Linked DNA regions of Mytilus edulis. The protein of the gene in region 1 purifies or fractionates together with the protein of each later gene. This does not show direct contact. Links are inferred from orthologs where the notes say so. Each region holds a gene or a part of one and is shown on either strand. Other genes may lie near its edges.

What was found.
Region 2: the proteins of superoxide dismutase [Cu-Zn]-like (region 1) and Parkinson disease protein 7 homolog purify together in Homo sapiens (affinity purification with mass spectrometry; 4 studies listed by BioGRID and IntAct, with this or other methods). This does not show direct contact. The link is inferred for Mytilus edulis from reciprocal best matches to the Homo sapiens genes SOD1 and PARK7.

The regions. Positions count from the first base shown.
Region 1 is NC_092353.1:20,695,826-20,712,709, forward strand, and holds superoxide dismutase [Cu-Zn]-like, read left to right. Parts: upstream 1-10,417; 5' UTR 10,418-10,516; coding exon 10,517-10,594; intron 10,595-13,243; coding exon 13,244-13,340; intron 13,341-13,459; coding exon 13,460-13,647; intron 13,648-14,587; coding exon 14,588-14,698; 3' UTR 14,699-15,266; downstream 15,267-16,884. Other genes in the region: uncharacterized protein, read left to right, coding at 1-591; integrase/recombinase xerD homolog, read left to right, coding at 2,839-3,765. UniProt on the Homo sapiens protein: Destroys radicals which are normally produced within the cells and which are toxic to biological systems.
Region 2 is NC_092356.1:41,312,658-41,329,431, forward strand, and holds the start of Parkinson disease protein 7 homolog, read left to right. Parts: upstream 1-9,406; 5' UTR 9,407-9,573; coding exon 9,574-9,657; intron 9,658-15,621; coding exon 15,622-15,783; intron 15,784-16,499; coding exon 16,500-16,569; intron 16,570-16,774. Other genes in the region: forkhead-associated domain-containing protein 1-like, read right to left, coding at 6,548-6,592, 6,989-7,195, 8,861-8,956. UniProt on the Homo sapiens protein: Multifunctional protein with controversial molecular function which plays an important role in cell protection against oxidative stress and cell death acting as oxidative stress sensor and redox-sensitive chaperone and protease.

The DNA.
Region 1 (16,884 bases):
ATTCCAGCCTTAAACCAACCTACAAGTAAGCCTGACTTTAAGTTCAAATTTATTAGCAATAGAAAGCAGTGTGAATTTAATGACCAAGTGTCAAAGGACATTGATATTTTGAAAGCCGCCATTTCTTCAGATAATCGTGACTTTGCCTTACAAACTATTGAAAAAGTTCAACAAGATATTGCTGCTCGTAACAAAACTGTTAAAATTGGTGACAAACATGGTTGGGACACCGTTAGCGAGTATGAAGGTAACCCTCTTGCTGATAACTCTGATGATGAGCGCCGTCTACGACAGGCCGAAACCAGGGCAGTTCGTAAAAGAAAGGCAGTCGCACCCAAAGACACATCAAAGAAATTTGCAGCTGATAAACTTTTTCGTGGCTTTAGCGAAACACCTGAAGCAAGAAGCTACAACAATGGTTCACAAACAACACCAAGATATAATGGTCAAAGATCCAGTACCTCAAACTTCAGAGCAAGGAAAGGACCGTCTCCCCAGGACACCTGCTACTACTGTGGTGCCACAGGACACTGGTCGTCTAACTGTCCAGAAAAAAGTCACAAGTCTAACAACATCAGCAGTTCCAAATGAGGTATTATCTTTGATTGACTTTAATTTATGTTTAGACACATACGAGTATGAGAATGAGTCAGTACAAGTTTATAATGTAAAAGGTCGATTATATAATAGCTTACAATTTTGGAAAGAAAAACTTTTATTGGCTGATAGTTTAAAAAATTTAGTTTTACCTATACTTGAATCTGGCTATTTTTTGAAATTTACCGATACACCTACTTCTGTATTTTTGAATAACAATAGATCTGCTTTTGAACACAAAGATTTTGTTAAACGTGCAATTGCAGATTTGGTATGCACGGGAGTCGCTAAGGTAGTTAGCACTCCCCCTTTTGTTGTTAATCCTTTATCGGTGTCGGTCAACTCGACTGGCAAGGAAAGGTTGATTCTTGACCTTAGACATGTGAATCAATATGAAGTGTTGTCTAAATTTAAATATGAGGGTGTAAAAGAGGCTAAAATGTATGCAGCAAATAAACATTTTGCATTTAAGTTTGATTTAAGACATGGGTACCATCATATAGATATGCATGTTGAATCGCAAAAGTTTCTTGGGTTTTCATGGAAAAGTGACGATAAAATTAAATATTACACGTTTACAGCTTTACCTTTTGGCTTGAGCTCAGCTTGTTATATTTTCACAAAAATGGTACGCCCTCTAGTAAAATATTGGCGGAGTAAAGGATTCAAAATAATTGTATATCTAGATGATGGACTTGGATTTGAAGATACTGAAAAATTATGTTTAAAAGTATCAAAAGAAGTATTGTCAGCTGGGTTTTTGCCAAATTATGAAAAAAGTGTGTGGAAGCCACAAAAAAGTTTAGACTGGCTTGGTTTTGTATGGGATTTACATAGAGGTATTTTAAGTGTACCCGAACAGAAAATGTTGAATATTTTGAATTATATTGCTTTATCACTTGTAAATCCTTGTAATACGACTGCAAGGAAAGTTGCAGGGGTTATTGGTAAAATCATTGCTTTATCACCTGCATTAGGTAATATATGTAGAATTATGACAAGACATTTACATCACTTAGTAAACGAGCGATCCTCTTGGGACTCTAGAATAAAATTAGATCTTATGTCTATTAAAGAGTTAGAATTTTGGCATTATTCACTAAAATCTTTACCTAATTGCGTGTTAGCACCAATACAGAGACTTCCCGAGAGGTTAGCTTATACTGATGCAAGTTCTTATGCGGGCGCCGGTTACATTGTGAATTTTTCTGATCAAATTGCGCATCAGATGTGGACAAACGAAGAAAAGCTCAAAAGTTCAACTTGGAGAGAGCTAAAGGCAGTGATTTTGACTTTGAAAAGCTTTCCGGATCATTTTAAAAATAAATTTGTAAAATTATTCACTGATAACCAAAACGTAGCTCACATATCTGAAGTTGGCAGTATGAAACAGGATTTGCACAATCTAGCTATGGAGATTTTTTATTTTTGTATAGAAAACTCGGTGTGTTTGAAAATTGAGTGGATACCAAGAACTTTGAATACTACCGCGGATCAATATAGTAAAATATTTGATTTTGACGATTGGTCGGTGTCGGACAGAATTTTTTATTATTTTAATAAAATATGGGGACCTTTTAGCATAGATCGATTTGCTAACAGTAACAATACTAAACTCCCAAGGTATAATTCAAAGTTCTTTGATCCTTTAACAAAAGGAATTGATGCGTTCACGTTTGATTGGTCAAGCGATAATAATTGGCTCGTGCCACCTGTATCTTTAATAGCTCACACTGTAAATCATATTCAATTATGTAAAGCTAGAGGTACATTGGTTATCCCTAAGTGGAAATCGGCAGTTTTCTGGCCGATGCTGGTGTCGGTTGACACTGGCAAGTTTGTTAGTTTAGTGCAAGACTTTGTTGAGTATGAAACCCCTTCTAATTTTTTCAACAGGGGGTCTGTTGAGAATTCTGTTTTCAACGAAAGCAGGTTTATTTCAAATGTGCTTGTATTGAAACTTGATGCCAAAAATGTATGAATGAATTTTGAGAAAAAAATTCTTTATGCGGACCTTGCCGCTTTTTGTTTTAATGATACTGTAACTGTAGATTGTACAGTGTGCATGTGTTGAATATGCGGACCTGGCCGCTTGTGTCACGGACCTGGCCGTGATTTTCTGTCCTTGAAAGGATATTGCATATCTTTCCATTTCTTTTGCAGATCTCTTTGAGTAAGGAATGGAAAGATATCTACAAACTCTCGCGCAAACCTGGGTTACATAATATCGCTTTTGCAGTTATGGATATGGCTAAAAAGAGTAAATCAGATTCCACAAACAAGAAATACGATTTATATTTTAATAAATTCAAAATTTGGTGCAGAAAGTTCAATTTAAAGTTTTTGCCAGCGGATGTATCTACAGTTTCCTTGTATCTCACAGAGTTAATACAATCAGCTTGTTCAGTGTCCGTACTTAATTCTAACTTTTACGCAATTAAGTGGTATCACGAACTGTTTTTATATCCAAACCCTTGTTGCAGTTCACTGTCAAACATTGTCTTAGAAGGGGGAAAAAGAATTTTGGCGAAACCCATACAAAAGAAGGAACCAATCACAGCGGATATAATTGTTAAATTATTCAACCTGTATCATGATATTTCTAACTTGTCTAACTGTAGGTTACTATGTATGTTATCTTTGGCTTATGCGGGATTTTTTAGATACAAAGAACTGTCGCTTATAAGAATGAGTGATATCAGTTTTCATAATACACACGTTGAAATTATAGTTCACAATAGCAAGACCGATATTTATAGACAAGGTAGTATAGTTATGATAGCAAGTACAGATATGCCGACTTGTCCTGTTAAATTTTTAAAACATTATTGTAATTTAGCTAGTCTTAAGATTAATTCTTCGGAGTACATTTTTCGTTGTTTGCAGTCCAAAAAAGATACTTTAGAATTGAGTAAATTAAATAAGCCTTTATCTTATACTAGAGCCAGGGAAATTCTTCTTGAAGCTTTGTGCGCAATAGGGTTAGACAAAAAGCAATTTGGTTTGCATAGTTTACGAAGCGGAGGCGCTACTCAAGCCGCTAACAACGGGGTTTCAGATAGGCTTTTCAAAGTTCACGGCCGTTGGCGATCCGAAAATGCTAAAGACGGATATGTGAAAGACAGTATTGATAAAAGACTTTCTGTCTCTAAAAACCTTGGCATCTGATATGCACTCTTTCGCCTTTTGTCTCGACTGGATGCTGCAAACCTACATCACATAGAATATTTGTGTTTGTGTATTTAAGCCTTGTATAGAAAAGAAATGCTTTATGTTCGGTTGAACCCGTGAAAAAGAACATAAATAAATTTCTTTTCGTTATAAGGCTTAACGAATACCGTTATGCGTAGTAATTTGCACGGGTGAATCCACCCGTGCATACTAAGCGGGAATTTAAATCATTCGACGGTTTGCATTCAATCAGTCTAGACGTTTAATTCAATTGTTGTTAAGGTCTGTTTGACTTTTCTTTAATTTTTTGTTCTTGTTTTTAAAACAATTTTTGTTCTATAGGTACTGTCTTTCACACGTATAAGCTATTTCTTATAGAAGTATATTACAATTCAACAGACACACATGTACACTGTCCAAAGTTACAGTATTTATTCAATTTCATGTTTACAATCATTTACATGTAGTTGTGAATTGTTTCTAATTTTTGTAATTGTATTTTGTAGATTGTGCAGGCTGTTGATCATACTTCTATAGTGAAGAGAATGTGATAAGGACTGTTTTTTGCGTAACACCTGCCATTCTAAATTTTTTGTTCACATGTTGTTATTATGTTCCGAATTTATTATTAAATGACTGGATGCTGCAAACCTACATCACATAGAATATTTGTGTTTGTGTATTTAAGCCTTGTATAGAAAAGAAATGCTTTATGTTCGGTTGAACCCGTGAAAAAGAACATAATAAATTTTATCATCGGTACAAACACATCATTTGTAAATATCAACATGCATGTACAACTTATACGATTAGGTATTTCACATCCAATCTTTTATGGTTATATACTTTACAAAGCACAAAGATGTCGACATTCACCTAAAAGCTAACAAAACAGATTTTGGCTTTGATATTGAATCACTTATAGGGTCTTAGCATCGGAAATAAACACATTTATTTTAAAACCAGTTGTTGGCATGTTACGGGTTATTTTCTCCTCATAAATTTTATGATGACAGTGGCGGATCCAGAACTTTTCCTAAGGGGGGCCCCGCTGACTGACCTAAGGGGGGCCGCTCCAGTCATGCTTCAATGATTCCCTATATAATTAACCAAATTTTTCCCACAAAAGGGGGGGAGGTGCGGGCCCCCCAGGCCCCCCTGGATCCATTAATTTGATGGAAACATAACCTTTCTATCAGTTTAATTGAGGTTTTGAGCTGGCATGTAAGTGACTGCTACTAGTCCTTTGTTAATTTTTTTAATCATCGTCATTTTATTTAGTACCTTTTGTTGCCTATTCTGACATCGGAATCGGACTTTCGGTGAGTATTGCTGTGTGTGTTCTATATTTACATTGGCTAGAGGTAAAGGGGAGGGTTGCAATCTTACAAAACATGTTTAGGTATCCTCGACGCATTTCTGCGCCTGTCCCAAGTCAGGAGCCTCTAGCCTTTGTTAGTCTTGTATGATTTTAATTATATATTTTTGAGTTTAATATGACGTTCAATATCCCATTTTTTTAGGGGCCAGGTGAAGCACGCCTCTGAGTGCGGGATTTTCTCGCTGTGTTGAAGACCCATTGGTGGTCTTCAGCTGTTATCTGCTCTTTGGTCGGTTTGTTGGCTCTTTAACACATTCCCCATTTCCATTCTACATTTTACCAAACAAGTTTTGCCCTATTTGAGATCTCTGATTAGAAAGTTAATTATCTGGTGATCATCATTTTAAAAATTAGCATCATCGTTAATTATGGTCTTAGTGTTAAGGAAAAGCTTCGACAAAGGATCTGTATTTTAATCAGATTAACTATGTAGATAAGATGGGTGTTATTTAATAGATATATTATAAAACATTATTTCCGAATCTTGGAGCCCAAAAAAGGAGCCTTATCACACCTTCTCATTTGAGTAAACATTTTTTACTTTCTTCATTTTGTTTAAGTGATCACACGATCCTATATTATATGTATCTGTTATCTTTTCTGAAAAGCTCAAATGATTAGGGTTGAAGTCATAAAACTTTGCTTAGTGCTCGGAGCACAAAATTCATGCTCGAAACATGAAATCCAGCATTTTGATTGGTTGATTTTGGAGTATGCGAACAAAAAACTGACTCGATCTATCGAATTATCAACAAAAAAAAACAACAATTATATTTGTTAATAGAAATTTTTAAAATGAACTATTCTAGAACATTTGCAAATATGTGTAAAGTAGAAGAAGGAAGACTTTTGTCTCATTTACAAATGTATTTAGTTCTAATATTTGATAATTGATTACCTTTCAGAATAGTGATTCACCAGTCATGGTAAAACCTTGTTGTTTAGCATCTATTAAACCAGTAAAGTCCTCTGTCTGGTTTAATAGCTGCTAAACAACAAGGTTTTACCATTTATGAGTTTGGAGACATCACAAATTGTAAGTATAACAAGAATGTGTCCATAGTACACGGATACCCCACTCGCTCTATCATTTTCCATGTTCAGTGGACTGTGAAATTGGGGTCAAAACTTTAATTTGGCATTTAAATTAGAAAGATCATATCATAGGAAACATGTGTACTAAGTTTCAAGTTGATTGGACTTCAACTTCATCAAAAACTACCTTGACCAAAAACTTTAACCTGAAGCGGGACGAACGGACGAAAATCTGCATCCATTAATAGCAAATCATCGGCCTTTCATCTTTCATATGGATAAGATCTATCGAAAAATACACTTGTTCGTCTGATGAATGGTTCGCTTCCTCTCATATCAGCGCTGCCTCGATTTTTTACGAGCAGTCGTAAGCATATAACAATATTTACAACACATCGTATCGTAAGTTTCTTTCGTGAATACAAATTACAACATACGATATCGTAGACCTTACCTTACGACAGTCGTAACGTTACGAGAGTTTTGTGAATACGGGGCCAGTTTCGTAAGTGGGTGCATTTTAAAAATACATGGTCTTTAAAAGTATATTGAGAATGTAATAAGAATATAGGGGACATTACGATGTGGATACCAAGTAGCCTGTATCCCAGACGCTTTTAAGTCTGGTGCAAAACCAAATGTATTGCTAAACCAAATCATCTTTTTATCTATATACCAAAAAAAATAAAAAAAATGTTTTTTGCAATTATTGTAAATATGTTTAGCTTTTTAATTTGTTTCCCTAGTATGTGCCTTCTTGTAATCTTCAACATATTGAAGTTCAGAAGTATTATGTAGATGTAGATGTAGATGGATATTAAGCAAATAAGGAAGTCTATATAAAAAAAAGTTAGCCGGAAAAATACAGCAAAATCATAATGTTATTTTCTAAATTATTTAATAATTTCGGACGATTTAAAAAAAATGGATAGCCCATGATTCTGCAGATTTTATTAGAATATATGATAAACAGAATAATACATGGCAAAATCCGTATCGCATGCGAAAAAGGAGAAAGCTCGGTAATCATTGCATTTCCCTCTCATTTAAATTAATAATTTTTTAAACAAATAAATGTCACACAATAAACGAATTTCGAATTTGTAATTTACAATGACGACTTTTAGGGGGGATGTTCACATTAGTGATAGACTGTTTGAACGGCAAGAAACGCCAATTATCAAAATATTTGATACCGGCCCGAATTTAAAAAAAAATCATACAGAGGATATATAGATTTTTGTCACACTTAAATTAACACTTTAGCAATGACTACGTGGTCGTTCTTCTAGATTTAAAAACAATCACTTAAGCCTCACCGGTAATTATAAAGTCTATCACATATTTTATAAAACCTAAGCATACTAGCTTTTGCAAAAAGATTATTTATTAACATCCGTGTTGCTTAAAGTTTTAAGCCCTTTAACATTAATTACCCTTTTGATCCATTACACATCAGCGTGATATTTAATTGTACTTTAGCAAATAAACAACCATCGCACTTTAGCGTGATACACCATCGTACTTTAGCGTAGACCATATCGCACTTTAGCGTGACCATCGCACTTTAGAGTAAAAAGTAAAAACACAAAAATACTGAACTCCGAGGAAAATTCAAAAAGGAAAATCAAAAATCAAAAGGCAAAATCAAAAGTCCAAACACATCAAACGAATGGATAACAACTGTCATATTCCTGACTTGGTACAGGCATTTTCTAATGTAGAAAATGGTGGATTGAACCTGGTTTTATAGCTAGCTAAACCTCTCACTTGTATGACAGTCGCATCAAATTCCATTACATTGTCAACGATGCATGAACAAAACAAATATACTCAAAGAGTAAAAATGTCAAAAATAGGGATACAACAGTCAATATTGTGTTATCATCTTAATATCACTACATAAACAACAAATGTAACAAAGTAGCACAAAAAGGCATACATCAAATTTAACATTCTCATTTTGCTTTTCTTATACGGCTGAATTTATCTATGTAAAGTCTACCCATAAATGAAAGAAGGTTTTCATTACTGGTGTAAAATTGCGCGTTTGAAATTCGCACAGGTAGACATAAAAATAATTTTGTCGTATGACGGCATACATAAATGCAGACTCACGTAAAGTAGATATAACAAAAAACAGACTTACAGTAAAAATAATAAATAAAATAATGGCGTGGTTCAAAGTATGACGGGACACATAAGTACAGTTTCACGTCAAATACGGCTGAATTTATCTATAAAATAGTTTAGTCATTCATAGTATGTCAAGATCCTTAAGTAAAAGTAATATCAATAAATGAAATAATTTTGCCGTTCAAAGTATGTGGTTTTACGTAACCACAGAGTCACTTCAAATGAATATCTAAAACAGACATATAAAAGAATACTATAATACGTAATTAAGATGCTAACAAACGTCAGTACGCAAAATCTATACTTCAAGACCATCTTGTATTATTTGTGAAGTTGATACGGAATATTTATCAACAAGTTCTGGGTATCTTCCGATGAACTTTTTAAGAAAAAGGACGAGACGTTCTTTGACATACCCCTGGTTCATCAATTTTCTGCTCAGACACTGGTAACGTTTTACAAAGTCTGAATAGGAGCTGCAAGCTCTTGAATACCTAATAAGTTGGGAAATGTATATTCCATATGCAGGTGAAGTTGGTATATTACTACTAAGGTGGGGGAAATTGATAATTTCAAAATTAAAATCGTCTCGTTTGTCATAGATTCTGGTACTGAGATGACTGTGTATGTCAAATTCGAGGTATAAGTCTAAAAATGAGGCAGAGGAAGCCGTGTCTGTGGTCTCTTTAATTTCTAGTTCTGGTGGGTATATTAATGGAATCCAATCAGAAAAGTTCGGATTGTTAATGGAAAGAACATCATCAATATATCTGAAAGTGAAATTAAATAACCTGGCTTTTTTATCTTCTTGTTTTTGACAAGTGTCTGAAGGAACTCCGATTCATATGAAAATAAGAAGAGGTCGGCAAGGAGAGGCGCACAGTTCGTTCCCATAGGAATGCCGACAATTTGTTGAAAAAGTCTACCTCCAAATTCAACAAATATGTTGTCAATAAGAAACTCCAGCATACTGATCACTTGTTCCTCTGTGTAGTATGTTTTACCCTTTTGTTCCTTATTAACAAAATATGCCTTATGGTATCCCAAAGTGATAAATTTATAGCGTATGCTACCATTTTTATGATGAAAAGCATTGTGAATTATTTCTTTTAGACGGGTTTTCAATTTCACATGGGGAATGGTTGTATACAAGGTTGAAAAATCAAAAGTTTTAATAGAACTAATTTCAGAAAAAGACCGAGATTTAAAATTATCCAGAAGTTCTTTAGAGTTTTTCAGAATCCACATATGGTTAATACCACTACGTGAGTAAACAGTTTCACAGTATATCTGAAGACCCTCTTTAACTGCGGACAGAATTTTAGTCAATCTAATGGACAATTCTTTAGTAGAACAAGCAGATGAGCCGGCAATGTACCGTTGTTTGTACGGAATTTTGTGAAGTTTAGGTATCCAATACAAACAAGGTAAGTCCTCCGATTTGTTGTTCAATGCAATGTTCATAGAAGCCATGAAGGACTTATGATTCGCCAAAATCTCATCCTTGTCAAATGATATGTTTTTGTATGTGGGATTACCTGAGTGTTCATTTATTCCTAATTCTTTTATAAGACACTCGTAGTAATACGATTTACATACAAAGACAATATTATTTGAAGCTTTGTCCGCAGGAACAACAACATACTTATCTTGAAGAGATGATAGACATTTCACAGCCTCTTTGTTACTGAAAATGGACTTACTAGATCGATCATTCACACAGTTTTACCATCGCACTTTAGAGTCCTACATATATAATAGCCAAAATTAATAATGTATTTCGTAAAAATATACTATTTTGTAATACAGGTCATATCCCAATTTTAACAATTTTGTTTTATCTCAAAGTCTGTGATTTCTATTTCGTTTCGTTTCGTTTCGTTTCTTTTCTTTTTGAGTTTTCTTTTTCGCTTCGTTTCTTTTCTTTTTGTTTTTTCGTTTCTTATTATTTTTCGTTTCTCCTTCGCGCTGTTAAATCGGAGCGTGTTTTTTTACCACAGAACCTAAAATACCACTAAACTTTACAAAAAATCAAAAAAATGTTTTCATTTCAGTTACATGTTTTCTTTTTTCCGTTTCGTAATCTGTTTCTGCGTTTTAGCAACACCCGTTGCACACGACACTTGTCCACATTTTCTCGCAGTTTACGGTCACTTACCGGTCACTTGTTCATAAGAAAATCTTATCTCTGTAGGTATGGCAGCTAATATAAAAGCAGTTTGTGTCTTGAAAGGAGATGGTGCTGTTACAGGAACAGTCGCTTTCAGTCAACAGGTAATATTTTTTTTTAAATAATTTTCAAAATTTGTTGCTCATGTTGCTGGTCAACATAATTTCCATGTCATATGACTACAGTTTGACCTTTTGTAATATAGCCCCCTTTACGGCAACCTTTTCTATGAGTTTCGTAAAAAAAACTTTATCCTAGAAAGGAAATTTCAAATGACTATTAAAAGTTACCTCTTTGTCAAAGGTCAAAACATAGAACATGTATGTTGTCAGACTTAGAGCACAGGGCTAGTATCACTATCAGGTTGGGAATGTGTTTTTATCCAGTACCTTGGGAGATACTATTATTAACCGAAAAGGCAACCAGGACCCTCAGTTTTTTCCGCAGGAACCTTGGCCAGTGTAAGCCATCAGTCAAAAACACAGCCTTTGGTGCATTCAGACCATCGATGGAGTAAGCTTGATCAAAGACCTTGAACGGGTACAGTGCAAAAAAGCACGATTGGTATACAACTAGTACACCGACACTTCCTCAGGCTGTGTCACTGGACTGAAAGACCAACGCGAGTGGGATACCCTTCTGCAAAGATAAATGAACCAGTGACTCATCCTTTGCTACAAGATCAAGAACCAACTAGTGGATATACAACCAGCTTTCAACTACACACTGGGGGACAACAGAACAAGGGTAGCCCATAGTCTGGCATAGAATCAACACCAGATAAAGAGCAACAAATATATATTTTTCACCACTTGATTTTAACCATTTTAACCCCACTTAAAAGGATAGTCGTTACATTTAGGGGTTATGCCTCATTTGAGGGGCTGTTGTATCATAGATGTTTTTGGGATGGAGTTACTCCGAGTATAGACCTTGTAGCAGTACTACTGTGTTTTTAGTGGACTTTTGCTTAAAACAGAACAGAATGCGTACCAGTGGACTGGCATATGTTTTCGCCCTCAAGACACCTATTATCATGATTATCATTGTTCTTACAATTCAACTGTCTATACAGTATCACTCTGCTCAGCTCTTCCTAAAGGTCTCACTAATAACACAAAGAATAAAAAAGTCTAAATATTACGAGAGTTCAACAATGATCAAAACTATTGTCTCTATATCTTCGATCACCTTAAAAATTCTATGCCGTATGGTTGAAGAAGAGTGATTAACATTGAATGTAGAATAGTATGTCATGTATGTGGACAAAAGTTATTTGATATTTAGGTCTTTCCACTTTTCGTGGAAAGACCTTTTGTTTTTCTTCTGATTATTTTTGTTTTTCTTTTGCCGTCTGAGATGCTTTTTTGTTTACAACATATCAAACTGATTTTTGGCCAATGATGTTGTACAGTAATTGAGGCTTCAAAACTCACCCTGTGTGACCGAACGCTTATTCTTATAGGAGTTATCTCCCCACGTCCCCTTTTTCTTGTTATCTTTATATCTGGAACCGTTAAAGATTTCAACAAACTGTTTTCACCAAATTGTTTGTCTGCTCTTAAGAACGGTTTGATGAATTTAACTGGAGTGATCGGATGACATCTTATGGGAGTTATCTCTCTTTGAAAATTTAAGATAGGTGATATGTTGGATAAATTCATACATTATAAGTCGTAGAGGCCTAAAGTCTTTTGATATGAAGTCCTTGTTCCGTTTGGAGAAAATTTAGGTCAGGGTCAAAGGTCAAGGTCATGTTCTAAATTAATTTTGCTTGTTTATATCTTTATTCAAAAGAAACTAACAGTTAATGATATGATGTGTTTGCCAAATAAATGTTTACGAAAGGGCACAACTTTAACCTGTTTAAGTCGGAAGTGTTTAGATCAACCCTTATAGGAGTTTTCTCCCCTTATGTATTTGAAATTAGTATTACTTCACAACCATACAAGTGATTTACCTGGGCTCTTTTGATTTGAGATCACTGACCTATGACCTTGAAATTGAGGTCAAATTCAAAGGTCAATTTGACGTTCTAGACTTTGACCTTTGCTGAGAATTCTTACTGGTTCATTATAAAACAATAAAGTCTTCTGCATTTGGTTGCAGACATTTCATCATGTACCATGTCAACGGGAAATGACCGTTTTTTAACCGGAAGTAGCCTATTTCAGACTATTCCTATGAAAAAGTACCTATAATTGTTTTTATTATATCAGTTTGAAGTAACAAATTACATGAACCATGAGTGACATTTTCCAATGTTCACTGTTTTTTAAATTGCATTCTTATTATCGAGGTGGAAAGACCTTCAATTGTTCTCTGAAGAATTGGTTTTTAATATTTTTTTATTTTTGAATTTATAAATTTTGTGTACATTTGTAAACCATGAATTTTCAAGATTGCAGTTTGAATTTTTGATCATATTTTTCTCTTTCAAATTATCTCTGATTTTTTTGACAAATTGTAACCTAGAGGTCACAAAACAAAACAAAAATTCATGTTTAAGTCATAAATTTGTTTGAAAACTTAGATTACATTTATTCAAATCTATTTAAATTATCACATAAATAACAAATATTTCTGAGTTTGATGTCAGATAAAGATTTTATGAAAATGATGTAGGAAATGAGCTTCAACTATTTTAGGAAGTTTGTATACAATTGGAAACATATTGAAGAGAAGACTTTTTGTCTAATTTACATATGTATTTAACTTCTGGTTTTAATATTTGATAATTGATTACCTTTCAGAATGGTGATTCAGCAGTGACAGTGACAGGAGAGTTAACTGGGCTAGCTCCAGGAGAACATGGTTTCCACGTTCACGAGTTTGGAGACAACACAAATGGTAAGACTATAGACACATTAGAACATTTTAAACAATTCCTGAAACTTTGAGATAAATAGAATTGCATTGAACATGAAGTTATACATTTATGAATATACAAACTTTTTTGTTTCTGTTAGGTTGTACTAGTGCAGGATCACATTTCAACCCATTTGGAAAGACCCATGGTGCACCAGGAGATGAAGAAAGACATGTTGGTGATCTGGGAAATGTATTAGCAAATGCAGATGGAAAAGCAGAAATTAAAATAACAGATGCAAAGCTATCCCTGACTGGTCCCCAGTCTATCATAGGAAGAACAGTAGTAGTAAGTAATATCAGAAACCAGACACAGCCTAGGAAAAATATGATAATAAGTCAAAAATGTTTATGGCTATTCCACAATATAACGATACATGTACTAAAAACATGTATTTTTTATCAATATCAATAAGGATGCTTAATTCTACAAACATAACATATACACAACCTAGGTTGCCTTTTCTTATTTTATTTTTAAAGTTGTGTAAAATGTGTATTATCATTTGCTAATGCATGACCTCAATTTTTCATACATGTGGACTATATGGATTGATTGTAAAAAGTCTAGGTCTGTCTGAATATGTTATGTGTAAGGAGATGTGATAGATGTGAAACAACTCTTTAAAAGAGACTAAATGACCCAGAAATTAACAACTTCAGGTCTTCGTACAGTCTTCCACAACGAGCAAAGCACATTTTGCATTATCAGCTCTTAAAGCTCCAGAAATGACAAATGTAAAACAATTCAAACAAGAAAACTAACGGCCTAAATTATGTATAAAATAAAGAAAGAAAAACAAATATGTAACAAAGCAACAAACAACAACCTCTGAATTACAGGTTATTTTGGACAGGCACCTAAATAATGTAGTGGGGTTCTAGACGTTTGAAGGCACCAACCATCCCCTTAGCTGTGACAGTGGTGTAACAGTACATCATAAAATCATGTCAATCTGAATTTTATCACAATACCATAACTTCATTTTTATGCTCTCCAGGTTTAATCAATTCAATAGTAAAATACAAAATAATGTTGAAATTAAAATAGCAATACTCATGATATTATAACATGTTAAATATGCAAAATATTCAGGCAATGAACCATAAGTGAAAGTACAGGAACAAATAAAGTCCATCTTATTGATCCATGCTTTCTTATTTGAAGGTGTCACTTCTGATATATGTAAAACATTAAACACTTACACACATTTTCTATTTCTTTTCAGGTCCATGCTGATATAGATGACTTAGGTAAAGGTGGCCATGAGCTAAGCAAGACAACAGGCAATGCTGGGGGTCGTCTGGCTTGTGGTGTCATTGGAATTTCAAAGGTGTAATGCATTCAAATGAATACTTTATGTAGTAGCAATGCAAAATGATTTTTTTTATTATTATTTAAAATCATGTAACAAAGTGCCCATAAGAACATGAAGCCATTCCTTGTCTCTGTATTACTGTAATAATTTCTATTTAGAATGTTCATGGCCATAGAATATTGAGTGTGGTATGATATATCTTTTAATTTTAAACTTTATGGAAAATATACTTTCTTCAAAATTGAAATCCTTCATACAATATGTCAATTGAATTATAACAATAATATACAGATAGAAGCACTGTAAATATTGATTCTCAATAAAAAAGAAAATGTTTAAAAACAATGAACAAAATTGTGGATGAAAAAGAGTATAAATTCAATGTTGATTGATACTACATGTAGTACCTCACTTTTATCCAGATTATTTACATTTATAGTTTTATTGTGAATAATGTATGTACTCTTGGTGTTTTGAATTTTTGAACAATAATACTGAAATGATAAAGGAAAGATTCCATCTTGTGCTTTATGTTGTATTTCTTGTTTATGTTAAGTTCTTACTAATACATTCTGTAATCAAACTGAAATGACTCATGATTGGCCCAGTAGTTATATTGATTTGCATTCAAATGCCGAGTCCTAAATATAAAATTTGAATGATGTCCAGTTTGTATGAGCCAAGTAAAGCTACTTTTTGACGTTCAGATACAACTTATAATATTTGACCTTCAGATACAAATTGTTTTATGTGAAGTAACAAGGTGTGTGAGGATATGTGGTGTCCAACTGAAACATACAGTATTCAGTAACCACAAATTGAAACTAATTGAAGCTGTTTTTAAGATCAGTGTAAATTATTTAAAACCTACATAGTAACAGAAAATGTTTCTAGTTTCATTTTAAAGGGCATAACCTTTATCTTACAGAATACAACTTGTCAGTATTTAATATTAATATATGATTTCATCCAAGCCATGACGACTTTGTGGTAGATTAGGGTCTAGCTGTTCCTATCCAAGAGTGCACATGATGAAATGCTTCTCCTGCTTTACCTAGGCTATTGAAGACCTGTTGGTGACCTTCTGCTGTTGTTTTTTTATTTGGTTGGGTTGTTGTCTCTTTGACACATTCCCCATTTCCATTCTCAATTCTATCTTGATTACAATTGTGTTTGTTGTAAGTCTGTGATTAGAAAGTTTTACAAGTACCACAAAAACTTATCAAAAATATTTTCAAATAGGTCAAGGTCATTGAAACCCTGCCAAACGTACATAATTCTGTCTTAGAATCTTACAATCATTCAATACATCACATAGAATTAACATTCAGCTTATAAAACTATTAAACCAAGAGTTTCAAATGGTGAAGTTGAAATCATCCCTTCTTAAATTTACAGAAGTTATCACAAGTTGGTCGACCTATATGGAATATCAGTTTCACAGATAACAGATATGTTCCTTATGTGTCGTGTACTGTTATTTGTGTTTGTCCTTTTCGTTTTTAGCCATGGAGTTGTCAGTTAATTTTTAATGAGTTTGAATGTCCCTCTGGTCTTTTATAGTATATGAGAAACTATACTCCTGCTTTACTTGCCTTAATTGAACTGATATATTGAAAAAAACATGCATTTTTAGAAATAGTACACCACTATTTAAAAGTCATTAATCGATTGAGAAAATTAAAAACTAAGGGAAACACCTCAACAACAAGAGGAAAACAACCGAAAACAAACGCCAACATACATCGAAAGGACTATTTGATAACAACTGCCATATTCCCGACTTGGTACATGAAATTAAGAAAAAACCGTTTGTTGAACCAGTTTTATGGCTAGCCAAACCTAATTACTAGTAAATGGATGTGTTAAAACATATTGCTTAAATGACAACAATATGTGAAAGAAATACTATACAAACATGCAAGAAACACTCAGCACAGAGAAACGCATAAATAGATAATATGTTATACATTACAACATGTAAACTGCAGAATAACAACTGACATCTTCCATTCAGGACACCACAAACAGTGACATATATATATAATCTTGAAGTTCATACAATTATTTGAAACAAGATCCAAAAATTCACAGGTACCTTATAGACCTATCAATGATCCTTTAAAATATGTTCTGGTCATATGAACCCTACCACGCAGACGTACATAAACATCTAACAATCATTCCATACATCACTTATTATTAGC
Region 2 (16,774 bases), on another chromosome or scaffold:
GACTATTGATTTTAACAGTAGTAGGTGTTTGAAAATTAGTACAAAAACCTTTTAAAGTTTAAACTGAATTGCTTTGTCGTGTTGACTCAACAGTTTCTATGTACAAATGTGTATATGGTGTTGTTCTTTCTTATTCCAAATTTATTAGTTTATCAACATTGTTTTAAATGCCTTCAGCTTATCATTCCAAACTATAAAATAGATTGAAAGATATATTCATTCCAATATAACTAGGGGGCATATTATCTAATAGTCATTGTGAACACCAAATTCATGCATTGCTATGCATCAAATGCACAACTGTGAAATCTTCTACTGACCTTTTTAAAATTATTGGGTAAAAAAATCTTCCTATCTTTGTATTTATAGTCATTTATAACCTAAAGTGGATACGAGTCTGCACAATGCAAACTTTTATCGGTTCTGAATAAAAATGTTAGTAGAAAATAGAATTTGAACTGCAACTTAAACGAAGATTGGAACAAGTGTTCAGTCATTTTCAACAGAAATTTCTTTTTTTTTGTTATTCATCAAATAATTGCAAGACAAATAACTTTCATGACACCATTTTGAAAAAAAAGTCTATTCATTCAAATTAGTCCACAACAATACAATGTAGTACATATACAGAGGTGAATCTGTTTTATAAATAGGATAGAACTCATTTTGCATACCAGTAGATAAACTCAAGAATTCATCCAACAGAATTTTAGCAAAGTTTGAAATTAAACAATTTACTCAAGTCAGTATATGTATATTCTTTAGCTTTTGGAGTTTAATGTACTCAAGTCAGTATATATATATTCTTTAGCTTTTGGAGTTTAAAATTGAAAAGGACTAATTCTAAAAATAAAAAATCTTGGATTAAATGTATATTTCATACTCAGTATCTGAACTGACCAGGGCACTTTTCTTAAGATCAAGTTTTTATTTTAATTCAGTTAGGAATGTTAAAACCACCTGAATATAAAAAATGAAAATGTTCTGCACTAAGCCTAAGACTATGGTCTAAAGTCAACATTACCTTACTATTATAATAAGTCATCACAGAATTTTAATCCAACAAATTTATAATCCTTCACTTCGAATCACTTTACTTTGAATTTATTTTCCACGTATAACAAACGTGTATTTTTGTATCTATATTATTTTACTCCATTATACTGTATAAATTCCTTTAATCATATCCAAATAGAACAGGAATTGTTGAAAGCAAATGCACCAAAAAACATGTGCATCTTTGTTTTACTTTTCGTATTTGTGCAAACTTGGTTGCCAAGAATTTGTTCTATCACAAAAATCAATTGTTTAAAGTTAACTAAACACCAGAGTAACAATTGACTTGTCTTATCAGTGACGGCTATAATTGGCCAAATTTTTCTAATTATTGACAGACAATATTTACACACAGTAACACAATATAACAAAAATGTTATAATTAAACATGCTCAAATTATTTTAAATCCTTGATATATGTCTCAAAACGTATGTGTTAGTCAATGAAAATCCTCCCCTCATAGATATGTGACAACAAGTCTAAGACTGATCGTTTGAAGATATCATCAAAATTTGCTATAATTAATAACCTGTGAATCGATTTATAGATGATCGCACATGGCGGATCAATCATTCTACCGATCAATGGAGTAGGAATTATGGAATCTTTTGACGAGGGATTTAAAGTTTTAACAAGGTAGGTATATATGTAAACCGATAAATGTAAACCTAAAATACATAAAAACTTCCAATTAAAAGTTGTTCTCAAAAGAATAGGATATAACTGTAATGGTAAAGAAAATAGTTCTATTACAATGTAAATTGTTTAAAAGTTTTGAGGATAATGGTTAAAGTTTGAAAAAGTTAAATTTTAACACCTGAAGTACACGTATGGGGTAAATTGGACAACTAAACATTATCATAAAGATTTAATTCAATACATATGTATTAGCAATTACCTGCTAAATAAAATTTTCAGTAAATAAATAAAAATGTTAGATCACTATTTGATATGAGTTATATTCATTGTTTAGAAAATTTATTAAAAAAAAATTACATTCTATTTAAAAATGAATTTACATTGATTAACCTGCAATGTGTTTGTACTTAAAAACTGCAGACAATAATTGTGATATTTGTCAGAAAAAAGATTGCATTTCAAAATTTAAGTATAACAGAAATCAATAAAAACTCAATTTACTTCAGAGATCCAGTATTTACCCGACCTCAATAGTAACCAAGATAAATATTAATGCATGTCTATATTAAGCTTAAATGAGAAAGGCATATCTAATTGAGAGTTAAGCTTATTACGCCATTAATTCAGACTATTTAAGCATCTTTATGGTAGTCCACTCAGTCAGATTATTGATGATTTTATCATTTATTTATAGTATCTTCAGTGAAAATCAGCCTATCTGTGCCATTAAATAAAAGATAAATACCTCTCATTTATTGTTTAAAGTTTTCTCACATGCCATTTTACAATAAATATTTATCTCTGATGAATTGAAGATTAAGTTCATTGTTGGGATTTAGGTAAAAGAAGTTTTGTAAACTCTCTATAAACACAGACTTTCTTTATCTTTACAATTTGTCAAGTTTTGACAAGGTAATATATTTAACCTGTAAATATAAACTTTTTAAAAAACATATTTCTGAAGTTCATACAGTAAGGTTAAAATTGAAAAGAGAGGCCCACTATAATTGTAATCTTACGTTCTTCTACAGTTAATTGATTTTTTTTTGTTCCAATTGATAACCAAATAATAGTAATAATGAATCCACAGTATAACCTTAATTGCAAAACAAAAATAGTTTATGCTGTGTTATCAAATAAGGAATAAAACTTGCAGATGCTTTTAGATTATCTTGAATTCATAAGCAGACTTATCAGACATGTAATAAGCGAAATCTTTTAGCAGTGCATAATAACATACTCTTGCACAATACAGTCAATTTATTTGATAGAATCTGTACCAACACTATAAATAAAACCATGAAAAAGGACTTTTAAGAAAATAAGTCCTATATTAGAGGGTTTGGATGGGGTTAAATGATTAAAGAATAATGCCCTTAAAAAATGAAGATTAGAGAATAACGGGCAAAAAAATTAAGATTAGAGAAAAAAAGGGGTTAATTTTTTGAAGATTTGAGAAAAAAAGGGGTTAATTTTTTAAAGATTAGAGAAAAAAGGGGTGAAAATGAAATGTTTACAGAATAACAGACCCCCCCTCATCCAGACCCTCATATAAAATACATTCATATCTGTCCAAAGTGTATAAGAAACCAAATTTGCATGAACGAATTGAAATATCGTGTCATAGACATACAAGACATGCATATTGTTAGCTAAAAGTTAGTCCTTTTTTACACAATTTAAAATTCTTCTTCAGAGCTTCAAATGCAAATACTGGTAGTATAAAGCTTTTTATCAAAGTTGTATTTATATTTTTTAAATGGTTGAATGAAAATTTATAACCATGTAATATATTTGAATGCTTCATTTTTTAAAGATTTAAATGATGAAAAGAAATAAATCATGAAGCGCATATTCAATTCATCATACTTTAAAGTTTCATTTTTTAAATTTATATACAATATATCTTCAATGTTGTACCGGAAGTTTGATCAAAGTAAATATAACCACCTAACAACTACTGCTGGGTTTGTAATTTTCTTTTTAATCAGTTCATCGCACACTAACAAATACAAATACTTTTAAAAATGGGAGATAACTCTAGTTTAAAATTATGTATTTAAATCTTTTAAAATAAGACTTCAGCTAGAGCCTGCTCTTTTGGTGTTTTTTTTAAATAACAAATAAACTTATCATATAAACCATTATTAAACAAATTTTCGTATTTGAAATGTTTTTTTGTGAGAGAAAAAAAAGGACAAACTTTTTATAAATACTTAGAAAAAATATAAGAGATAGATACGACCCAATATTCCTCTATATCTCTGACATGCAGAATCCATTAAAATCTAGTGTATGAACGTACAATGTCATATGTACAATATATTTTGAAAGTATACATTTTGCGAGCTTAATGCTGACATCAAGGCAGTGATATATTTATGGAGGTTATTGTGGTGTAAAAACATTTTACACTATCTTATGCTATATTTTTGTAGAATAATTATCCCTTCCACGATATTTATCTGAATGCATTCTACATAAATGTGTCTACCTTTTTTGAACGGTACATATGTGTACAAAAAACATAAATTAATTTTAAAAGGTTTATATTTAATATTATTGTGTATTGGTTCATGCAGTCACTGACCTACATATACTACATTATAACATGTAATTGACAGCTTAGTTGAAGGCTTGGTAAGACACTAAAAAGGTCAAAATCTACAGAATGTGTTTCTTATTATATGTCTTATCCCTTGTAATTGTAAAAGATTACCCTAGCTATTTAGTCATTTAATCAATACATTCTAAAACAGCAGACCAAATAATGTATCTATTTCTGAATGCTGAGCAGTAATGAACTTATCTTAATTGTGTATGATAAATGTCATAAAAGTAATAAAATTAACAAAATTCTATAAGTATGATTGAATAAAGTTCATAAGAGTACAGAAATGACAGACATGTATGTACAGTTTCAAGCAGACAAAATGACATGACTGTCTCAAGCCATGGATGTACTTTGCAGAGATCTACAAATATAGATTGCTTATTAAATGTATAATAATGCCAAAACAGTTATCTATCTTAATAATCCTAAATGTATTGAATGTGTGGAATTTCCCTTTTTGTATAACAATATTATACTGAAAACCAGATCAGGAAATATATTATTTTTGTAATATTTTTATCTAAGGATTGACCAAAAGCATTGAGCTGACATATGCTGGTGGATGTATATTAACTCTTATAGAAAACATTAAAAAATATCATAGATTTTACCTTTAATTGTATCACACATAATTTCACAAGCTTGTAAATATTTGATGGTGAGGCACAACTTGAAAAGACTTATTGTCTGTAGTTATACCTTTGTAACTGTCATTCCAAGCAATATTATATTACATGATTTATGTGGACATACCTGTCGATATCTAGATAACTGATGATAGAAAGAAGTTTTCTACAGAAAAGAGAGAAAAACAGTAAACAAAGGAATAGGAAGAGCTGACGAAAGTGTGTCAACTGTATTCAAGATATCTAAGGAAAACTTGAACTCTCAATCCAATTTGACTTGAATTTGTCTTTTGACTCTGTAAAACTGTAGTACAATGTACCATTTATAATATTATTAAATGAAATGATTAACTTGTTGGAATGTACTTGCAGTCCCTTTTTTCATAACAGCAGAAACATAATAAGAAGTTGTATCTTTTTTGACACAGTTTTCATTGATCTAGTACAGCATATTTTCTATTAGCAACCTCCTGCAACAGTAAAATATCAATGCCAATGTATTATGTCATCTATTATGAATGATAGCAATGTCTTCAACACATTCAACATGAAAGACTTGAAAATAAGCTTTCCAGTAAAGATACTTTGGAGTGGAGAATATGGTAGGGTGAAGTAACAATTGTGGTGAATGTTACAATGTTTTTCAAAAATGTTCAACTTGATATTCCAAACTATCACACCTAGCAAGATATGAATTAACATGTAAAGTGTGAAGTGAAAGTGTTAATTGACAAATTGGTTCAATACAAATTACAAACGGAAAAAATATATATTTCATGTATTTTGTAAATTTATTGAACACATAAAAACACCAACACCAAAGTTACAAGGGAATACACAGACTCTTTTTAATGAATCTTTTCATTGTCTGAATAAGAAGGTGGAAACCATCATACAGAAATTTACAATATGTATTCAATCTTTTAACATAGTTAATTATTTCTGATTTTTTACTATCATTTTCCAAAAAAAGGACAATCAAGATATATTTTCTAAAGTTACTAAAACACAGGTTTGTTTATAACTATGTCTGACACTAATGCTGTTGTTTATGAAATTGAAATATATACACAAGCTAATGATAAAAAGTAGGAGAAAGATAGGGTTCTTTTAACTTCTTTAAAGACATTTAAAAGATGTATGCACTATTTGTTTTTGTGACTGCTGTTAGTCTGTATGTAAATTCCATTTCAACATGCAGTAAATTAAATGTTCACTATATAAATTGCAAGATATTTTAATTTTAAGCCTTTTAATATTTCTAGATTCTTATTGTTTGTGTAATTTTGATGCACTAGTGAAAGCAAGCTTTTATCCTCAAACAAATATAAAGGATATTTGTTTTTAAAATATGAACATACATGTAGATATACTATAAATGTTGTGTTCCATGTTTGCCTTAATAAAATAAAGCAAGCAAAAAGAGTGTAGTGAAAATTTTGCATTCTGTCACTGCATGTTTACATGTTTGGTATCAAAATGTTTTAAAGTGCCTGTATGCCAATAAGGCTAAATGTACTATAGACAAGATAGAAAGGAAAAACAACCATCACCAAGAGAAAAAGAACATGCAGGTCTATTGGAAGTGAAATATTAACAATGTTACTCTACCTGAGTGGATGATCTTAATAACTGACTTTGTGAAAACTGTCGCTCCTATTAAAATGAGAATTGTACAAATAAGAAATGAAGTTACATGTTATCATTTAACTATGATAATGAAACTTGAGCCTGTGTATCGTGTAAACATGAATAATAAATAACAGTTTAGGAGGAGATGATAAACTACAAATATACCACTGCGCTTTTTCTTTCTGATTTTGGGCATCTGGTTTTTAAAGGTAACTCCTAATTTTAAATTTTGTTACTTAAAATGTAATGTATGCATACAATTTAATCTGAAATCTTTGTTATTGAACACCTGTTAAAATCTTAGTTCTTACTACAAGGGCATAATGTTGACTACCACAAAACGTAGTTCTAACTGCAAGGGCAAAGTTCTGACATATTTACTTTTGTGGCATTACAATAGATTAATAAATATTCACTTACTGGTGGTGGATTTTCAATTTCTAATGTGAATGGTACACCATTATATCCAAACTTAATTAGGTCTCCAGGCGCCAATCTGACAGTTGCATTCTGAACTCTACATTCGTTTACATATGTTCCTTGGGATGTGTTCAGATCTTGCAGCACATAACCATCTTCTTGTTCACTGTACTCAATAACACTATGTTGAAGGTCAACACCTTGTGTCTGTAATTAGTTTAAATAATCATTCAAAAAGCATGAAAAACAATATTAACTTTACAAAGCTAAATAATCTGTAAAAGGTGTAAAAAGTGAATGATCAAGGAATATAAAACATTACAGGCGGGTCATGGTAGGAGTACCTTCATTAGGAATAATGGTAAAATACCTAGCTAAATGATGCCAATGATAGTTTTTGATGCATGATGATAAATGTACAATTTTAACTGATGATTGAAAAAAAATCATCTGATTTTGACGAAATATGTTTTATTTATTTTGAAACATAGTGGCAAGACATGCAAGAGTAATTTATTTGACACCCCTGACAATTCACACTGTAATTTCAACAAATTTGACATTAAAAGTAGCTGCAAATGACTGTTTGATACTAAACATAAGAGGCATTCCTACCCTCTTACATTCTGAAGGATGAACAACCATGAACCAAAATATAATGAAATTTGATACTCTCAGACTAGTATGAGATTACTCTGACGTCCAACAGCTGTTTGCCAGACAAGCTGGGGCCGTGGGCCTGGCAAAACAGCTGTTGGACGTCAGAGTAATCTCAGACTACTCTCAGAAAAGTGATTTGATCATCTTTTTTAATATAAAGGTACATGAATATAGGTGATTTTTTCAGAGACAAGTGAGTAGTGTCACCTTCATGATGAAGGACCTTGGATGGAAACCTCTTGTGGAAAGAAGACGCTAACAACGACTGGTACTACTATACAAAATAGTGACTGACCTGGTAGCCATCCCCACTGAACATCACGTAGAATTTAATACTAGACCATCCAGAACTTCAAACAAATAAAACTCTTATCAGCAAATATTGACATATATAAACATTCATTTTTTCCACAAATTATCATTGACTGGAACTTACTACCAAATACTACCGTGAACTGTAAAACTGTGGAAAGTTTTAAGGCACTAAAGGCAGTTTATAAATCGTGTGACTAGTTACATCAGTGGCGCACACACACTTCCTGGATAAGTTTTACTCAGTATTTTGAGTTCATTTCCAGTATTATACAGATACTTGAAGTGGGTCTCAAAATTTTATCGCTATTCTCAGCTGACCTGAGAATACACCTTATCGCTATTTGTCCGCCATTACTGGACATCACACAGGTTCCCGTAAAATTTTGACGTCATAATTCAAAATATCTGACGCCACAATGGAAAAGTGATTGTTGTATGACGCCAATAGTTCAAGCGGAACAGATTCTCGGGTCAAGCGGAAATAGCGATAAGGTGTATCGGTCCTGCTTGAACTATTGGCGTCATACAACAATCACTTTTCCATTGTGGCGTCAGATATTTTGTATTATGACGTCGAAATTTTAAGGGAACCTGTGTGATGTTCAGTAATAGCGGACAACTAGCAATAAGGTGTATTGAGGTCTAAGCATGACACAGGATTGGCTTGGCTTCCTTTTTTAGTGGGACACGTAAAAGTTGAATAATTTAAAAGCGTGAAAACAGGATACAAAGTCTGGCGGGAAACGTGAGATAACATGCACTATTGTGGCATGGAGAAGCAGGATATGGAATTCTCAAAAAACAATAAGCCAGATCCAGGATCATACCCCTCTTGAAGTGTGGTTTTTCTGTGTACTACACTTTTTTCAAATATATGAATATTCAATAAATCTATACCTGTAAGTTGATGTCACAACCTTCACGTCCAACTGTTGTCACTTTGGGGGCTAAAGTAAATGCAGACCCATCATTTCCTTTTAAAAATGCTTTCATCTTGACACTCTAGAAAGTTGTTTACATTTGGTTGCTGCTCGGGTTACCAAATACTCATGAACAGGTGCCCGTTTTCCCACGTGTTTCCTGAAAATATTTCTTCAGTTGTCAGTTTTGATGAGATATTTGCAGACTCTATCAATGTAGGATTAAATTCTCCACGTGGGATTAGTAAATTAAGTCAGAATCAATTGTTTTTCTATTTTACATGCAGAATAAACAAGTTTTTTGTCGGCGCGAGTGATGTTGCGCATGCCCAATAGCGCATAACAACCAAACATCCGAAACCTCGAACCTGGATACAAAAATAAGCAGAATTGTTTTTATCTCTGAATAATAGTTTTAATCTTATAAAGGCTATATTTTTAATTGTCTTTTCTAGTGTTATGTAAGATATAAATGTTGAAGGTACACTTTAATAATTTTTACAAAAATTTTCTAGTAGAGATTATTGAATAAAAAATCTGTATCTTTCATACGTTTAAACTAACGAAGTAACTAGGAGGTTAAACAAGTTGCATTGTGCTTCTGAATTTAATGTTTACATATTTTTTAATAAAATTTGGACAACTTTGAAATATTAAATTGCCAAGTGACAGCTTTTAGCAAAAACAAAAATGCCAAGTGCACTTGTTCTACTCGCCGAAGGGGCAGAAGAAATGGAAACCGTCATCACAGTGGATGTTCTAAGACGGGGAGGAGTACGTACCTTATGCTTAGGCTGAGTCCCAAAATTATAATCGGCCCAAAATAATACACCTTATCGCTATTCCCGGCTATCAGACCCGAGAATCTGTCCCGCTTGAATAAACTTATGTATCTTAATGTACATGTTATTGTAACGGATCACATCAAAGACATCAAATAAGGCGATAAGTCGAGTATGCGTTCTATATAAGTATCTTTATTCTTCAAAACTACATATGGCTAAATATACTATATCATAACAACCGATTCTCTTCAATAAAATAAAATACACATAAACATACATCGTAAGTAAAAATATAACTTAAAAAACTAAAGGCATTAAATACTAATCAAACAATATGATTCACTTTCTTTCACGCTTCATAAGTAACTTGTTAAATTAAAAAGTTAATTAGAATAAATATTAATTTATAAATACTTTTACAATTCTTAATATTTCTTCTTAAAATAAATATTGTTCTTAAAACTGTACATAAATTATCTCTTACCGATTATGATCTCTCTATAACAGGTTGGGAACAAACCCCCTGTAGGGTGATTATACCTCTATAGAGGGATAATCCTTCTTTAGAGGGATAAAATTATCCTTCTATAGAGGGTTATTTTTGTTTGCACTGGATTTAAAGCAAATTAGGGCAGAATGGCATTATCTAGTTATATTGGCTATAATCTCTAGCATTATATGCATCAACATATGCACTTTACTAAAAATTAGGATAACCAGTTTTCTGCTAAAGTGACAAAACTTGCAATCTATTGTAAACCTATCTGAACACCTGATCAACAGCAAAAGGAATAGGTCTCGGTTATTGTATAGAAAGGTATATACTATGAAAATTAGAGCGAGGGGCTTTGCCCCAAAGCTCTTATTTTCATAGTATATACCTTTCTATACAATATCCAATTTAGCACATATTTACAACTTGAGTAATCCTGTAATTAGTCTATTGATATGTTTTGGCTGACTGGATGTAGCTCATTTACGTAGTTTTGTAAATCTACTCACTATAATATCATTGTAAAAATTGGATTTCAAAAGGCCCTTGACTTTAGAATGTAAAGAAGGTAGCTGCTGGTGTACGTATGTTTATTGATATGAACGAAAACGTTGTTTTACTATACATGTACTTATTTACATGGTAAGATGACAAAATGAATTGACCAAGAGCAGACAATTCTTAAATTGCAGTGAAAGCTTTACATTCTTGAAAACATTTTTTTAATTTCACATAAAACCTAAAACTATCACAAACAGTTGGATCCCCGTCCCACATCTTTGGTTGAAACACCTTTAAAAAATGGCTGGATCTGCCCATGGTATGTACCCATAGGTAGTCTAGTAGGTAGTTTATATGCATGAAATATTTGTCACTGGACATTAGGCAACCAATTATCGACCAATTTATGACTAAATATATCAAATTTCTTTATTAATAATTTCCCTTTAAAAGATTCATGGTTGACTCTTTTTGTGTACAAAGTAATTGCATGGAAGATAAAGGATTACAAATTTTAGATTGAGTTGTACTTTAATCAAGGTATAAAGCACCATTATTATTACTCTTTATTTAAATGAAAGAAACTTTTTTAATTGTCAAAACAAAATTTAGATCAAAAGATTGATTAGTAGGATGTTAAAAATCTGTTTGAAAACTAATTACAAACTATTTAGTTAAATTTGGAACACATAATTTATTTCAAAATAGCCAGTAGCAATTTTTGTTCTAATATCTTGATTACAATACAATGAAATCTTACCCTTGTGGTCATTCATGCGTAGTTACTTAGTACACGGAAAAAGTATGTACTATGAAAATTAGAAGGCAAATTCAAGCAATTTGATTGGACGAGAACTTGTAAGTATGTGCTAATGGGCGTATGACATTTGCGCCAATTTGAAAATTTTCATTCTTTCATTTGCGCCAATTTCATTTTTTCATTTGCGCCGATTTTATATTTGTTCCTAATTAGATTTACAGGTAATTTAATACTTGTACATGTACTGTACTATACCATTGATAAAATCTGGTTATAAATGTTGTTTATTTATGTTTAATAGATATAGGAAGATGTGGTGTGAGTGCCAATGAGACAATTCTCCATACAAATAACAATTTAAAAAGTAAACCATTATAGGTTAAAGTACGGCCTTCAACACGGAGCCTTGGCTCACAACGAACAACAAGCTATAAAGGGCCCCAAAATTACTAGTGTAAAACCATTCAAACGGGAAAACCAACGGTCTAATCTATATAAACAAAACGAGAAACGAGAAACACGTATATATTACATAAACCAACGACAACTACTGTACATCAGATTCCTGACTTAGGACAGGTGCAAACATTTGCAGCGGGATTAAACGTTTTAATGGATTCAAACCTTCTCCCTTTTTCTGAAACAATAGCATAACATCACAACAAAGAAAAACATACGATAAAATATCAATTGGCAGACTTAACTCAATCAAAAAACGTATGATTAAATAAGTTTATTTTGATTCATATTGTTCTGGAACTTCGTTGTAACATGATGGACATATTACACACTGAAACCGAGGAGTAAATTTTTTAATCATCGAGGGCCATACATATCGGAACTTTAGTGTCCTGAAACATAAGAACATATCTTACGAATGTACCACAAATCGTGTAAACCCAGAGTCACCACGGATTCTATTGTCAAAACACTGATCGAGCATAAACATGTGGCAGATATCCGAAAGACAGAGGTTAAAGAACTACGGGTACTGTCAAGAAAAAGTCTGGAGGTGTATCTTGTAGGTCTTCTTCCATCTCTCAGTAGTGAGCAGGAGACAACAGTTATATACATGTTATGATTGACAATTCATTACATTTGTACAAATGGCTAATGGAAGAGGTCTTAAATGATAAATGAAAAATGACATGACTTGGATGGAGAGTTCTCTCATTTGCACTCATACCACATCTTCTTATATCTATTCACCTGTAATTTACCTGTAAAAAAAATCGGCGCAAATGAAAAAAAAAATCGGCGCAAATGAAAGATAAATCGGCGCAAATGAAATGCAGATCGGCGCAAATGCAAAACGCCGGTGCTAATTGACCTTTAAATTTCATGTTAAATCTAACAATAGAAATTCTGTTCAGTGAGGCATAAGTGAGTAGAATTTACCTGATCATCAGAGCTTTCAATCATGGTGAACAATAGATTTTATATTTAGTCAGATAAGTATCAAACTGGGTATGTGCATATTAAATTAAGTACATTAATTGGTGCATCAACTGTTCCAGGTTACTGCCATAATAAGTAGAGAATGCCATTCTGCCCTATTTTGATTTAAATCCAGTTTAAACAAAAATACCCCTCTATAGAGGGATAATTTTACCCCTCTATAGAAGGATTATCCCTCTATATAGGTATAATCACCATACAGAGGGTTTGTTCCCAACCTGTATAAAATAATGATGTGTCTCCGAATATCAAATAACTAGCAATGAATAAAAAACTAGACAACGTAACGTACGTCAAAAGCGAAACGTCATAAAACTTAAAAACGGGAGATATTATAATGTTCATGATCGCAACATTACATATGCGCAAATACCCAAAAATAGTATCTACAAGTATTATAAATAAAATAAATAAATTCAGTAATAATAAATAAAGTAACCCAACAATTTGGAATAACATTTCAAATCTAACAATTATATTAATGTTTCCGGATAATAACTAGTATAAATAAATAGAAATCAATAAAATTTTAACATATGTTTATAACCACAAAAGGAAGGTTGGGATTTATTTTGGGGTTTATGGTCTCAAAGGTTTAGGAATAAGGGGCCAAAATAAACATTTTTGTAGTTTCAAGGTTAATAACTTGTGATTAAGTGTATGAATCTCTCTGACTCTCTGAAATTATACCACAATTTTTCCATACTACAAAGGGACGGTTATGGGGGTGGGGGTGGGGTTGTTATGTCTCAAATCATTTAGCAATTAGGGGCAAAAAAAGGGGGAAAACAAGGGTATTTCTGGTTAAAGGACAGTTTTGACAATTTAAAAGCAGTGTAAGGGAGGTAACCTAATTCTATTTAAAGAATACTATATATATGTTTGATTACCTCCCTTACTCTGCTTTAAAATTATGTATTTAGAAATGAATCATGATGATTGTCTTGAGATGATTATCTGTAAAACTATTTTTAGAAGTTACTATTAATTTTAACCATGACTGTATGTCATTTTATATTTTGATATTTCATGATGTATTTAAATGAGTAGTTATTGTTGCAAACTCCATAAGAAATTTGAATTGAGATTATTTTTGAAATAAGGGAAAGGGGGAGGTGAACAGACCACATTCATTCTGTGCCAGAAACCTATGCTGTGTCAACTATTTAATCACAATCCAAATTCAGAGCTGTATCAAACTTGAATGTTGTGTCCATACTTGCCCCAACTGTTCAGGGTTTGACCTCTGTGGTCGTATAAAGCTGTGCCCTGCATTGGTTCAAGAATTGGGTAAACATTATTTTTCACCAGTCACTCGTTTCATATACTTTAATGTAATTGATTACATTACAATTACAATTACATGCTAATTCAATGTAATAGTTTACATTTCAATTACACACTAAGTCAATGTGATTGATTATATTACAATTACACACAAATTCAATGTAATCAATTACATTACAATTACACCTTAATTCAAACATATTCCATTACTTAATATTAATTTTGAGGTTTTAGATTTTGCATCTGACATTTACCTCCTTTTTGCATCAATTGAGTGACCTAATGATGTTTGCTGTAAAAATAATTGCTTTGGACAGTGATATATATATCCAATCCTTTTTTCAATTTTGATCAGAGTTCTCGAACAGTGGTGGTCCCAGGGATTTGACAACTAAAATATGCAAAGGACCATCACAATTTCAGAATTATTAATATAAAAAGTAGTGAGGTCAGCAGTTTTTCTTCAGGGACCACCAGAAATAAAAAGATTTCTAGAACTTTGTTTTGATGCTAAAAAATCATTGGCTGTCAAAAGACTCAATAAGTGATAATTATAAGGTGTATTGTGCACAATCAAACAGCAATACTGTGACAAAAATTAGCAGAGAGACTTGCAGGCTTCAACATACAATGTACAGACATTAACAATAGATAGGTGTCTATAGGGTATCTCAAGCTTTTTATCATCTAGTGTCTATAAAATACGGTACACTATATGTTTATCTGTTTATTCCCATGTGGGGCAACAACAAGGATTTTTGGATTGTAACGTCTTCTATACAAGAGTTCAGCTCCTAAAATGAACATTTCAAACTCTGTTGAAATTTTCATATTTACATTAGAAATCTAGTCCCCCAAGACTATATGCAGATATCGATAAAAAAGAATGAGTTATGGTAAAAATGTTTATATTGTTGAGTCCAGTATCTTCTATGGGAATATTTAACAAGTACCTGCATATGTAGAGGGGTTAAACTAGGTATTTGCAATCTCAACCTTTTCCCTTATTAATCTTGGTCAGCCTGATCAGAGAGTAAAAGAACATACAAATCAGTACAGGAAAACAATGGTCATTGTATAATAGATAACAAAAGCACAAAATAACCTACAAATTATATATACTATATTAAATCATTCAATCCTATGTATACTCTTCATATCCCATGATGTACATGTGCATGTATTTCAACAAAATTAAAGATTTTATACTATTAGATACACTATAGATTAAAATTTCATCAATTATGATGTCATCATATCATAATTTAGGCTTCTACTTTATGTACATATGCCTTTGCTCTTTCTTTATTTACAAATCATTTGGCTTTATTATATAATGTTAGATTAAAACTATGACAAAAAAAGTCTTAACATCCCTCTTTCTTTTCAATTTAGAAAGCTTAAAAATATTTCCCCTGTAAACTTAATGTACATGTAATTGTCTGTTATTATAGGTAGATGTGACACTTGCAGGTATTGATGGCATTGATCCAGTTGTCTGCAGTAGACAGGTGAAAATTGTTCCTGATAAGAGTCTTGATGATGCTTTGAAATCTGGTCCTTATGATGTGGTGGTTTGTCCTGGTGGAGCAGGAGGAGCAAATAATCTCTGTCAGGTATCTCCATAGTAACCATAGCTTATTTATTTCATCAGCTCAACCAGATCCTAAATGATGTAGAACTTTGCAAATATAGGTCACTGTACAGACATCTACAATGAACAAAACGTATGGCATAGCAAGTTTTAAAAGGCTGCGGAATGACAAATGTAAAGCAATTCAAATAAGAAAGCTAATGGCCTGATTTATGCCAATTATGGACATTACAATAAACAGAATAACAAATATGATATACAGCAACAAAAAACACCCAACTGAATTACAGGCTCTAGTAATAGATATTAGGTTTTGGTCTATTTCTCAGATTCTTTGAACATAATGGCTTTTATATTTGATGAATGGAATGAGTGAGGTGTACATGAATGTCTTGTAGATTTCATGTGACCTTGCCGACATTTTCAAAGTTCCTTGATCAATGTGTGCCAGTTTACCTATATCAGATACTTTGAGCTATTAAAAATCAACTACATTTGGGTATGGAATGATTGTAAAGTGTCTGTTTGACAGGGTTTACCTGACTTTGATCATATTTATATGGATCATTGATAATGTTAAATTTATGTGATACCATTCTTTTTGTTCTTCAACATAACTTTTATCATAATAAGTAAAGTAGGCAACACATGTCAGTGTGTGTTCTCTTGTTTCAACTTTTGCATTTGGTATTTGGGTATTTTATGGAAGTTTTAAAATCCTATTTATTTCATTTATAGTCTACTGCAGTTGGGAATCTGCTTCAAGAACAAGAAAAGGGTGGACGATATGTAGCTGCTATTTGTGCAGGTATGACATTATAGTGTTCTTATCTTAAGTCAACGAACACATGATACAAGCCATTTGATGTGCGTGATCTCTAATGGTAGTTAAATTATTTAATCTTATCCTTTTTTGTCATGTGTAATACCTATATAAGTAATATAATGAGAAGTGCATTTTTTTTTTTAAATTATTGAATTTTCTGCTCTGTATGTTCTAAATGGACAAGAGA